Mus musculus: one gene and its partners. The protein of the gene in region 3 purifies or fractionates together with the protein of the main gene of each other region. This does not show direct contact. Links are inferred from orthologs where the notes say so. Each region holds a gene or a part of one and is shown on either strand. Other genes may lie near its edges.

Region 1 (4,325 bases), on a different chromosome or scaffold from region 3:
GACAGGGGTGGTGTGGTTTCCAGGCCCAGGTGGTCTGGGGCTGCAAGGAGGGGCCAATGCAGGGGCTAGCGGGGGAGGGCAGAGCCTCATTGTTCTGCAGAATGTAGGGAGTGGGGAGACAGGACCACAGGAAGTGAGTGGGGTCCAGCTTCAGCCAGCACAGGAAGTGGCCACGGTACAACTACAGCCTGCACAGGAAGTGACTACAGTCCAGCTACAACCAGCACAGGAGGTGACTACGGTCCAGCTCCAGCCCCTGACAGGCCAAGTCTCCAATTCTAATGGAGGAGCTGGCACTACAGAAGCTCCAAACCTGCTGCTGGTTCAGAGTGGGGCAACTGAAGAGTTGCTGACCGGCCCTGGGCCCGGGGAAGTGGGAGACAGTGAGGCCGGTGCTGGTGTGGTCCAGGACGTCCTGTTTGAGACACTGCAGACAGATGAGGGGCTGCAGAGTGTGCTGGTGCTGAGTGGGGCGGATGGTGAGCAGACTAGGCTCTGCGTGCAGGAGGTGGAAACGCTTTCCCCCGGTCTGGCGGAGCCAGCGGCCACTGGCCCATCAGGACAGAAACTCCTTATCATTCGTAGCGCCCCAGCTACTGATCTGCTAGAAAATAGCAGCGTTGCAGGAGGCACCACAACACTGCAACTCCTGGCCCCGTCAGCACCTGGCCCGGTCTCTGCCCCTGTGGGGGTGCCCGTAGCTCCCCCGTCCCAGATGGTACAAGTGGTCCCCGCAGTGGCTGGACCAGGGGTCATGGCTCCCCAGAACTTGCCCTCCATCCAGATTGTGCAGACTCTTCCTGCAGTCCAACTGGTACACACGTTTTGAAGAGACCCCCTCCCCGCAATTAACTGTTCTCCTCAGCTGGGCTGGGGTCAGCCCCAGAGTCAGGGGGGCTGCTGGCTGGACTTGCTAATAAAGACCCAGAATCTCTTCCTGGTTTTGTTTTCATGGGGGAGGTATAGTCATGGGCATAGCCCCTGCTTCAGACCTGGAAGTCTTCATTCTTGCTTCCCGGATCTGAGGTGACTTGCTTTGTACTTGGAGGGCTAAATGCTTCTCCGGGGTGGGGTCCAGCTCCCCCATCCTTTAAACTGTTAAGGCTTTTACTGTGCTGGGGGTGGGAGGGCGGGTACACTTGCAGAGGACAGAGAGACAGTGGGAGTCAGTCATGTGGGTTTCCTTTTGGCAAGCTCTCTTACTCCCTGAGCTATTTCTCTGGTCCTTTCCCAACCTTTGTATGTATTCGTCTGTAGTTGTACTTATAGCAGGGAGGGTTAGGGATCAATTTCTGGATTTTCCACTTCTTTCCTATAAACCACCCTTACCTCACCTGAAAGGTAGGTAGAGGAATATTATTAATTCAAACGATACCCCAGGTGCCTCCGGGTTGAGAATAAGGTCTCAGCTGATGGGGATGCTTGATGCTACCCCTCATCCCTTCCCTCAAAGACCCAAGCGCCAATGAGATTAGGTTCACAAGCAACGCCTCCTCTTCCTGATGCTCAGGTCGCTTAGCAACGAAGGACCAGCAAGAAAGGAGCTGTGCTAATCCTCCCAGGCAGGCCGGGTAAGAAACCCTCTCTGTCCCCCACTCCCATCCCCCCTTCTCCAAGGTTCTCCCACTGGCCTCCAGCAGGTCACAGCTCTTCCCTCGTCCTCGCAGTTTCCTCCATTACTCCCAACCCCTGCCCCATAGTGGGGGAAGCTTGGCAACAGTTGCTAAGGTGCCGGTCTTGCCTCCAGTCGGGAGCGTGGACGTCACTTCCGGTGGTGACCCTCTCCTGCCCCTGCCCCCCTTCTCCCTTACTGTCAAGGGATTCGAGCAACCCCGTGGAGGTGCCTTTCAGGGCCCTGTTTCTGCTATGTGGGGTGGGACCACTTCAGGAGACCGGCTGCTGGAGTTTGGATAGGGGATGAGTTTACAGGCAGATCAATGAATGTCTTCTCCGGAGTGGGGGACGATTCGGGACGATTTTCAGAGCCCCACTGGGTATGGAGGCACCTGGCCTGCCACTGTGACAGTCTTCTTTGGCAATGCTCTAGGGTCCTTGGCGATCTGGGAAACACTGCGGCCCATCCCTCCCAGGGCTCTTAGAACTCAGGTGCCCACCTAACACCAACCTACTTGTTTTCAGCAGGTGTACAACGTCAGCTCCCTTGGGGAGGGGCCTGCCTGGGGGCTACCATGGCCCCTAACCACCTGTCAGTGCGGGAAATGAGGGAAGATGAGAAGCCCCTGGTGCTGGAGATGCTGAAGGTGAGAGGCCGGCAGGGGCACCAGTGAGCATGCGCAGCTTCTTAGGGCCATTCAAAGTGGGTTCCATCAGCCCCGCCCACCTGCCTGAGCTCCGGGGGTCCTGGGGGAGGGGATTTTCGCCTCAGCTGTTTTTAATTGGTCTCTTTTCTCTACTGCCTTCTCCCTACTTAAACCTCAGCTGCCATTTTTAAAAAAGCAATTGAAAGGGTGTAGGGGCTGGGTGTTCAGGTCTCTTGACCTCCATTCAGCCCCACTTACCAGTCCCAAAATGAGGGCTACTGAGACACACACACACCCCAGACCTTCCAGCGAAGAGCCCATGTCTTCACTTTGCCTATCCTGTTCAGTCTCCTTTGGTGCGTTACCTTAGCATGCCATCCGGACTCATGGGCCTCAGGTCCTAAATCAGTTCATTTCATTCGGGCAAACCGCATTCATTCGCTCAGCCCTTAACACCCAATGGGCCAGACTGGGACCACCCCATCCGCTGGCTTCTCTTCTCACTTGAGAAGAGAAATCCTTCCTCGGAAGTTCTTATGTGATGAATGGCTGAGCCTCTACTCCCACCCACAGGCTGGTGTAAAAGACACGGAAAACCGTGTGGCCCTCCACGCTCTGACACGACCTCCAGCCCTTCTCCTCCTGGCTGCAGCCAGCAGCGGACTGCGCTTCATCCTGGCCTCCTTCGCCCTGGCCCTCCTGCTGCCCGTGTTTCTGGCTGTAGCCGCTGTGAAGCTGGGTTTGCGAGCCCGATGGGGCTCTCTGCCTCCACCAGGCGGCCTGGGAGGGCCCTGGGTGGCTGTCCGTGGCTCCGGCGATGTGTGTGGAGTCCTGGCTCTGGCCCCTGGTGCCAACGTGGGGGATGGAGCCCGAGTCACCCGCCTCTCTGTCTCTCGATGGCACCGTCGCAGGGGCGTGGGCAGAAGGCTGCTGGCCTTTGCCGAGGCTCGAGCCCGAGCATGGGCTGGAAGTATGGGGGAGCCTCGGGCCCGGCTCGTGGTCCCAGTGGCTGTAGCCGCTTGGGGGGTGGCAGGGTTATTGGAGGCCTGTGGCTACCAGGCAGAGGGAGGCTGGGGCTGCATGGGCTATATGCTGGTTAGGGAATTCAGCAAAGACCTGTGATTAGAGACCATGCCCACTGGATAGATGGGCAGAGAACCAGCACCTAAAGAACACCTACTGTGTGCCAGGCACTTTACATCCCCCCCTCAGTGTCTACCTAGTCTGCTGGGCTGATAGTGAAGCACCGAGGTTGATGGACTTACATTCCCAGTGTGCCTGCCAGCTGCAATGAGGACTCTAAACTCAAGTAGAACAAATCCCTTCTTGGTCTTCTGGGACCACTAGAGGTCACCGTGTCCAGTCCTTTGCCTCACCCCCACTGCCCCAGTCTGTATGCACTGAAAAACGTCGGGTTCTGGGTCTACAAAGCCCCTGCTGCCTGTGTTTGAGGTCTGGAAGGGAGATTTGAGGAAAGAGAGAGAGAGAGAGAGAGAGAGAGAGAGAGAGAGAGAGAGAGAGAGAGAGAGAGAGAGAGAGAGACTAAAAGTTAGAGTCTGTGACAGGGAACTCCCAAAGGGGACAGATCTTCTGGGAGTGGGTGGGGCCAGGAGCACAGTGTCTCCAAGCCCATCTGGTTTTTTACACTGTTTGTTAATAAACCCTGAAACTTCTGTGTGCCTGTCTCCTGTCTGATGCATTTTCCAGCTGCTCTCTCCAGACTCCCTCCTTCTGTCTGGCTCCTCCTCTCCGAAGAAGTTGACATTAATTGCTAGGGAAGTGTGTGTGTTGGGGGGGGGGGGGGGGCGCTGGGAAGAGGAGAAGCAGTGAGCTCACAGCGGCAGCCAGTCTTTGCCAGGCCTTCTGAGTCATGCTCCCCATTACCAAAGTTTTCCCCCTCACAGCTGCCTGGTGTGTGTGTGTGTGTGTGTGTGTGTGTGTGTGTGTGTGTACCCCCTCCAGACCGAAGCCTTGACCCCTCAGTCTCTCTACCCTCCATACCTTTGTTCTGGGAACTGGTAATAAGTTCAGACACTCTTTTCTCGAATCGGCACTGGGAGCTTC
Region 2 (4,250 bases), about 140 Mb from region 3:
ATAAAAAGAGTGTATAGAATTTTTCTAAAGGAAGTACATAGGGAACAAAGAAAAAGAAAAACAGAATTTTAAGATAAAGTAATCAGTAAGGCATTTCTGAGATTTTAGGAAATGGCTGTGCAGACTGGATGTTATACATAGCTGATATATGATACCCCACTATTACATTGTTTCAAATCACTTCTTTTCATTCAAGTAATTCTAAAGTACTTATAAATAAAATCTGCTCAAAAATAGTCTAGTTCCCACCCTGAGGGGAAAAAATGGCGAGAAGAGGAATGATTCTAGATGCTAAACAGTGACAGCTTAAAAGTGTGTGACAGATAGAGGGCCATCAGAAGATTTTATCCACTTGCATGTCGCTACAAGTATCCAAAAAGAAGAGTTAAAAGAAATAAGCAAGGTCCAAATGTCTTAGGAGCAGGCAACCTACACTGACAGAGGTCACGATCAGTACTAATTCTTCAGTGCGGACTTTGGCTTTACCTGCTAGTTATCAACACACCCTCCGGCCAGCAACTCCACTTCTAGGAATTTATTCCGTAGATACTCACTTACTCAACGGGCTTTTTAAATTTTATTTGTTTGCTTGTTTGTTTGTTTGCTATCTCTTGGCATGCCCTGGGAATGCAGAGGTGGAGAGAGCAACCTACTCTCATTGCATTTCCATTCTTGTTGGGGAGGAGACAGGTAAAACAACTCAACAAGTATTCATGCGTTACAAAGTCAGGTAAGTAAGACGGTAAACAGGGCTGCGCTGGGCTGGCCTGAGTGAAGCGCCAGAAAGCCTGGCCAAGGCAACAGGGGAAAACAACTATGGAGTAATGGTCCGGTCCGATCTGGCCTTCCTTCATTATGCTTTATTCCCCCAAAGCCTCTGTTCATTCAGAGGATGTGGGCACCATCTGAATGATTCTCTTTGTACTACAATATCAATCAGGTCCTTTTAATGCAAGGAAGGTGTCAGAGCAGTATTCCTGCTGGCCTCCCAAACATGGCTGTACATAGCAATTTGATTTTTTTTCAACGAAAGAATTTCTAAGTTATCTAAGCTATATGCAAAGCATATGAATAAAAGTGCAATCGAATTATCAAGGGATTTTAAAGAAGGTAAACTTTTCTTAAGACAAAGTAAAGAGTACATAAGTCTTTCAAAAGATTGATCACCTGCTAGTTCATTTTTAATTACATGCTATCCATTTATTTTGTGTGCATGTATGTGAGGTGGTCTGCATGGAGGTCAAAAGCCAACTTATGGGAGACAGTTCTCTCCTTTCACCATTAAGTCACAAGAAGGATAGATCTCAGGTCATTAGGCCTGATGGCAGGAGCCTTCCCCAGATCAGCAATCTCACCCACGCTCTGGTAGTAAATTTTACCTACAAACAGCCAGTTCTGGTCTTTCTGCAAGATGGAGAATCACTGACTTAAAGATCTCGGTAGTTGAAGTTCATGATCTTTTAAGCACAGAGCTTCAAGCTCTGATTTTCTTTCTTGGGTAAATGTTTAACATATACAACAAACGATCAATTGATGCAAAAAGAAATGACTGCTACAACTCCTGACTTAGGAACATTGCAAACTAATATTTCTGGTCATACACTATCAAGGCTTCAAAACTGCCAACAGAGATAATAGTCTACAAACTATCAAATTAAGAAACCAGATAGAGGGAAAGAAACCTATTCCTATATAAAACAGGCTACTCAATTTTGAGATCAGCTTTACATAACTGCCTCTTCTCCATCCTAAAAGAAGGATGCAAGTCTAACTCACCGACCAATCCCAGAAGATTCCAGGACCTTACAGAGTAATTTTCAATGACCAATTCCTGTGCAGATTTCAAGTGCTTTGTAACTAACTACCTGCATAGACAACCACCAGTTCTCTCCAACAGCTGAGAATGGATGCATCCATCCATCCTTTCCTTTGGATTCTGAAAACGGCTTAACCCTTGAAAGGGGGTCGGTGAATGCAGCTCTGACCTGCGATTAGCTAGCGAAGGGAAGGACCAGACAGGAGAGTTGCTACTGAGCTCCATATACGGTCAAGGCAAAGCAGGTGAACTGGCTAAGAGCACTTGCAGGGTCTTTGGTCTTGCCGTTCACCCTGCGTGGTCCTCTTCTTAAGGGCAGCCTTTCAAACTCCTCGGGAGACTCTTTCCAGAGCCAGTCAGGAATACTGGGCCCCTGATTACTATGGACTCAACCACTAAGTATCTCTGCAGGCTAACCTGATAAGGATGCCAGCCAGGGTGCTGGGTGGGTTAGTGAGCAGCTCGTGGAGGGGGTGGGAGGGTGAGATGGGGGTTGAAGGAGAGCTCCAGAGGCAGATGTTTGGAGGAAAGAATGGGGTTGGACGGTCCCTGCGGGCCAGACGAGGGGAGGTAGTCTTTAGAAGGGTCGAAGAGGACGCCGGGAGGATGGAACCGTGTGATGCTCCCGCAGCAGATCTCTGAAGGTGGGAGCCTGGGACTACCTGCCCTCCAGGTGAGGGGCCCGCGCGTGTCTGCACCGCATCTCACCTGCCCAGCGCCCGCTTCATGCCCGCGTCGGATGCGCTGTGCGGCTCTGCCGTCCCCTTGCCCGCCAGACGCAGGTTCTGCTTCAAGCTGCAGTCGGCGTCCAGCGCCGCGGCGGCCGAGCCGGAGGAGGACGAGCCTGAGGCGGCGCAGCGCTCATGCTCCAAGGTGACGGGCTCGGTCCGCTTCCTCATCCCGCGGCCCTGTCGGCAGCAGCTCTCGGCGCCCTGGTTTCGCCCGCCCGCCTGCGCCGACCTCGCTGCAGTCGCCGCCGCTCACAGCCGTCACCACCCGGAGCCGGGAGCCCACTGCGGGTCACATCCCAGCCCCAGGCCGCGGCGCCCGCTATGGACCAGCGCCGGAGGCCGGTCGGCCACCGCGGCCAATCAGCGCACGAGTCCAGGAAGCCCCGCCCCAGACACGCCCCCGGCAGCTCCGCTTCACAAGCAGCGCGCCCAGCATCCCCAGCGCCAGCCACAGCCATCTTGGAGAAGGGCGGAATAAGCTGAAACTGCGGGTCATTTTCAGGGCAGGGCTAGTCTGAAGGGTCTTAGTGCGTTTACGAAACGGATTAGGGCCAGTTTGGATTCTCCTGCTGGGTTGCTTTAGGTGCAACTCAGGTGCCCTCTGCCTACGAACTGAGGCAGGCCCTATCTAAGATCTAAGTGGTCCGAATGGGGAGGGTGCTAGGGAGTCCTTGAGGGCACTAGCTCCGTTTGCTGGGCAAAATAGGCTCTCTCTACTCCCTCTTTAGGGCATTTGGCGCCCCTAAAAAGCTAGAGCCCCAGATGTTCTCTAGATTTGATATACTCAACAAAAAAGCTTTACAGAGAGAGAGAGACTCCAGTAGCTAATGTATTGTTTAAACAAGTTTATATTTACTTTTTTTTTTTTTTTTTTGTCTTTTCGAGTCAGGGTTTCTCTGTGTAGCCCTGGCTGTCCTGGAACTTACTTTGTAGACCAGGCTGGCCTCGAACTGAGAAATCCGCCTGCCTCTGCCTCCCATATATTCACTTTTTCTTTCGCTGAATGTAAGAAAATGAACTGCCTGCGTATGCTTTGAAGTCTTCTATTAAAGTTTGGATCTTCATAAGAACGATTAGGACTGGTAAGAAGGCAAGGAAATCCGTTTCAAAGAGGAATTTGCACTCTGACATCCAAATTTAATAATTCAATCCACCTGAAAAAAAATGAAAGGACACGTTGTAGCTTTTAATAGTTTTTGTTTTGTTTGATATAGCATGCATTTTACTAATGAGTTACTTTTGTAATTTCAACATGCATGTAATCAGTTTGAAAAATATTGGCAACTGATAAAGATTTAATAGGAACTTAGAAATGTAATGGATTATGTTGTTGCCTTTGTAATGATAGTTACAACTTGCAATTCAAGAATTTCTTTACCATTTTTGCTATATTATAACCTATGTTCATACTGTATGAATATCTACAGTCTTTAAAACATCAACAAAATAGTACTATAGATTTGAATATTCAAAAAGGAAATTAAATGCTTAAAGATAGTTTTGACCTATCAGTCATAAAATCTTTATAGAAAAACAAAAGAACAAATAGCCCTGGTAGGACATGCCTGAAGTTATTACAGAAGCTGACATCAGGAGGGTTGCAGATTGGAGGCCAACCCAGGCAATTTAGCGGCTTCTGTCTCAAAATAACACAAATAAAAAGAGCTGAATATAGCTCAGTGATAGCATTTCCTCAGTATACC
Region 3 (3,602 bases):
ATGTAATCATTTGGCAGTTCTCCTAGGCAAGAATAGCAGAGGCCTGGGGAGGGGCAGTGTCACTGCATCTTTACAAGATGCTCAGTACTTGGTTCTGTGCCACATGCTGATGGTTAGACCTGTCCTGGAAACCTGACCAGATAAACTCTTGTTCTTGGTGGCAGACAAAATACAATGATCAGGTCAACAGAAATTTTATAATGTAGTGCTCTGAAAAAAATGCAATGCTAGAGATGTCTGTCCAACACAGTAGCTATAGCTACAAGTGACTGTTGAATAAATATTTATTGAATAAATAATAAATACCAAGAATATTGATATGTGTGACTTGTGTGACATAAATATCCTGACAAATGTACACTAGATTTCAAAGACTTGACCTACAAAAAGAGCATAAATTATCTCATTAGTCATTCTTAGACTTTTCAATTACATGCTTAAATAATTTTATCTTAAATATGTAAAAAATTTGTAAAGTACTAAAATACATATCACCTGTTTATTTTCACTTTTAAAATGTGGCCATCAAGAAAAATTGAAAGTCATGTGTATTTTGCATGCTATTTTTATAGAACAACATTGTGAGGTACAATATAGATTGAGAGCCTTGGGGAAGGCCTATGTAAAGAGTAACATTTGTTTGTTTGTTTGTTTGTTTGTGACAGGGTTGCTCTGTGTAACCATCCTGGCTGTCCTGGAAGTTGCTTTGTAGATAGGGGTGGCTTCAAACTCAACAGAAATCTTCCTGCCTCTGCCTTCTGAGTGCTGGGATTAAAGTTGTGCACTATCACATCTGGCTAAGAGTGACATTTAAGACCTGAAAAAATGAGAGCAAAAAGGAGGCCTGCAAGACTGTGGAAAGATCTTTATGGGACTTCAAAGAAACAAAACCACAAGATCAGAAGTTTAGAGAGAAAGGATAATATGAGTCAGAAGAGAAAGAATAGAGACAGGTGGAAGATGCAATGTGGAATGGGACATCATTTCAAAAGCCAAGGAATTGGCTGGGTTTATACGAAGGACAAAGCCCCTTTTACAGAAAGCGTCCCCAGGAGGAGATGGTGATCAGACAAAAGTCTCACCATGACTCACTCTCTCATGGTTGTAGCTGCAGGAACTAACTGCTATACCCTGTACTTACAAGGCATAAGAATTTGATACCTTGTGTGGAATAATTCAGTCTTGTATAAAGCTTAACTTTGTCTTCTTTCCTTCTTATCTTCCCCTATAGTGTTTGGAAGCAGATGCACTGTTACTCACAGCTGGGGGAAATTTGGAGGATGAGCTAAGAGAGGAGGTAGTCCAGAGAGTTTCTCTTCTTCTCCTCTACTACATAATTCATCAGGAAGAGATCTGTTCTTCCAAGCTCAACATGAGCAACAGAGAATATGAGTTTTACCTGCACAGCCTACTCGGCCTTAGGCAGGATGAAGACTCCTATTTCCTTTCAGAGAAGGAGACTGATGACATCTTGGCTTTCACCAGGAAGTACTTTGGCACTTCCAGTAGCCAGGTAAGAAGTGAGGAACAGCTGAGCTGTAGGCTTGTTCATAGTTTTGCCACTTACTCCTAGGACATGGATGAACTTCTAAGAGAGATATGTACTTCTGGTTTAACTCTAGGATAGTGACATAATCCAAAAGTTCAAGTGGAAATGGAATGATTAATGGTAGATGACTTTTAGTCAGAAGCTGGGTGGGTAGGCAGGCCAGGTGACAGGACAGCTCTCATCTCCTGAATAACAATGACTCAAAGCTTTTGATCCACATCCAAGAGATGAACTACAGTGGTCAAAAGCCATGTGTCCATTTGTCATGGCTTCTGGTCAAAGAAGAAGGCAGAAACAGTTTAAGAGATGATTTATCATTAGTGATTTCACTGATGAAATCACTTGTAAAAGGATTACTGCTTAGCCTTGTGTGTCCGGGCTCCTTCTCATCTACCCCTAGCCCCAACTCTCAGGTCATGGGTACCTGCTTTCATTACTATTCTAGAAATGCTTGCCTTTCAAGCATACTTTCTGATGCACAATGGGAAGTTTCAGCAAACAAAGGTATCTGAATGCAATGTTTTTGTTATTATTATTATTATTATTATTCTCATTATATGGAGTTGAGGATATGCCTCAGCAGGTGACATGCTGGAAGCATGAGCACAGACACCTGCATTTGGGTCTCTAGTACCTATGTAAAAACCAGGGGTTACAATTACTCCTGCAATCACCAGGTTGGAGGGGAAAAGGCAGTTATTTGGGAATTGTGGTCAGTCAGTCTAGCCAAAATGGCAACCTTCAGGTTTATTGACAGACAGTGTCTCAAAAAATAAAGGTAGAGGATAATTATTAACATTGACTTCTGGCTTCTACATGGTCACACTCAGGACACTTACACATTTACACACATATGCCTATACCACACACACACACACGCACACACACACACACACACACACACAACACACACACACACCATCATCGTTGTCGTCGTCGTCATTATCATCATCGTCGTCATCATTGATACTGGGGATTGAACCCAGGGCTTTATGCTTACTAGGCAAGAACTCTGCCACTGAGCTACACCCTCTGCTTCATAAATCTTGAGTCATAGTCCCAGAAGAGTTCTTTGAGGACCCATACCACAATTTGAAGGGGGTATGAACATTATTTATGAAACAATGGTTGTGAATCTTTATTATCTTTTGAATTATTCATTGATTTGTAAAAAACAAGCTTTGCCGCAGACCCTCTGGGTCCCTTTGTCTGTGTGGAATGGGTCTCTGGTTGCAGGTGGGCAAAGAGTCGGCAAATGACAGACAGACCAACATGCAAGATTGTGTAGAATCTGAATGTAATTTGTCAAATTGAGCATCAAATTTTTTATACAGAAGAAAATAGGAAAGTTAGGAGGAAAAGTCTCTGTTAGCCTGTTCTGTCTCAACAACCAACAAACACCCTTTCTATATATTACAAATGTACTTAATTTCTCTTTTAACTTGGTATACAAGGAAAAACATATTTACTAAGAACCTTGCAAAGATCTTATGGCACCTCCAATCTTGTGAATATTAATCTTTGGCCTAATTGATCCTGTTCCAATGTTAGAAAAAGGTTCCTTGATGGAATTCAATTTTTAGCTTGAACACCTCCTTAAGTGTTCCTAACTGTAACATCTTCATTGTGATTTCTCTATGATGTTAAATTGGCTCGAATTATCTACTAGGATTTTAGACATCCTGTCCCCTTACTGCCTTTTGATGCAGATTAAATAGAAATGAAAATCCAGTACTTAAAGCAAAATGGTGGGTATGAGTGGGTTTCTACTTATGCTGCCCACATAGTCAGTGGTCAGTCTTTGTGGTATTTGTAAGATCAAACATCTATAGAGAATAAAATAACAGGACACAGAAAACTACTTTTTTTCCCCATCGGGTTAACAAGAGTAAACTACTGTCATGCACCTTTCTTTGCTTTAGCACAGTGATCTCCTAAAGATACCAATGTATGTATATGACTTCTGGATGGTTCCTGTAGTCTATTTAACCACAATGACTTAGGTAGTCAGTCAGTCCAGCCTTTGCAGAAGGCTGGTGACATCTCTCTGCAG

What was found.
Region 1: the proteins of Slc39a12 (region 3) and Nat14 purify together in Homo sapiens (co-immunoprecipitation; 3 studies listed by BioGRID and IntAct, counting the BioPlex papers as one, with this or other methods). This does not show direct contact. The link is inferred for Mus musculus from reciprocal best matches to the Homo sapiens genes SLC39A12 and NAT14.
Region 2: the proteins of Slc39a12 (region 3) and Abhd12 purify together in Homo sapiens (co-immunoprecipitation; 3 studies listed by BioGRID and IntAct, counting the BioPlex papers as one, with this or other methods). This does not show direct contact. The link is inferred for Mus musculus from reciprocal best matches to the Homo sapiens genes SLC39A12 and ABHD12.

What each region holds. Positions count from the first base shown.
Region 1 is NC_000073.6:4,921,069-4,925,393, forward strand, and holds Nat14 (N-acetyltransferase 14), read left to right. Parts: upstream 1-1,517; 5' UTR 1,518-1,571; intron 1,572-1,577; exon of another isoform or gene 1,578-1,994; intron 1,995-2,139; 5' UTR 2,140-2,189; coding exon 2,190-2,261; intron 2,262-2,834; coding exon 2,835-3,383; 3' UTR 3,384-3,938; downstream 3,939-4,325. Other genes in the region: Zfp628 (zinc finger protein 628), read left to right, coding at 1-829. UniProt on the Homo sapiens protein: Probable acetyltransferase. May act as a transcription factor that regulates the expression of coproporphyrinogen oxidase by binding to a promoter regulatory element.
Region 2 is NC_000068.7:150,901,833-150,906,082, forward strand, and holds the start of Abhd12 (lysophosphatidylserine lipase ABHD12), read right to left. Parts: upstream 2,900-4,250; 5' UTR 2,716-2,899; coding exon 2,525-2,715; exon of another isoform or gene 2,234-2,524; intron 1-2,233.
Region 3 is NC_000068.7:14,394,841-14,398,442, forward strand, and holds part of Slc39a12 (zinc transporter ZIP12 precursor), read left to right. Parts: intron 1-1,231; coding exon 1,232-1,513; intron 1,514-3,602. UniProt on the Homo sapiens protein: Uniporter that promotes Zn(2+) import from the extracellular space to the cytoplasm across the cell membrane. The transport activity is temperature dependent. May play a role in neurulation and neurite extension.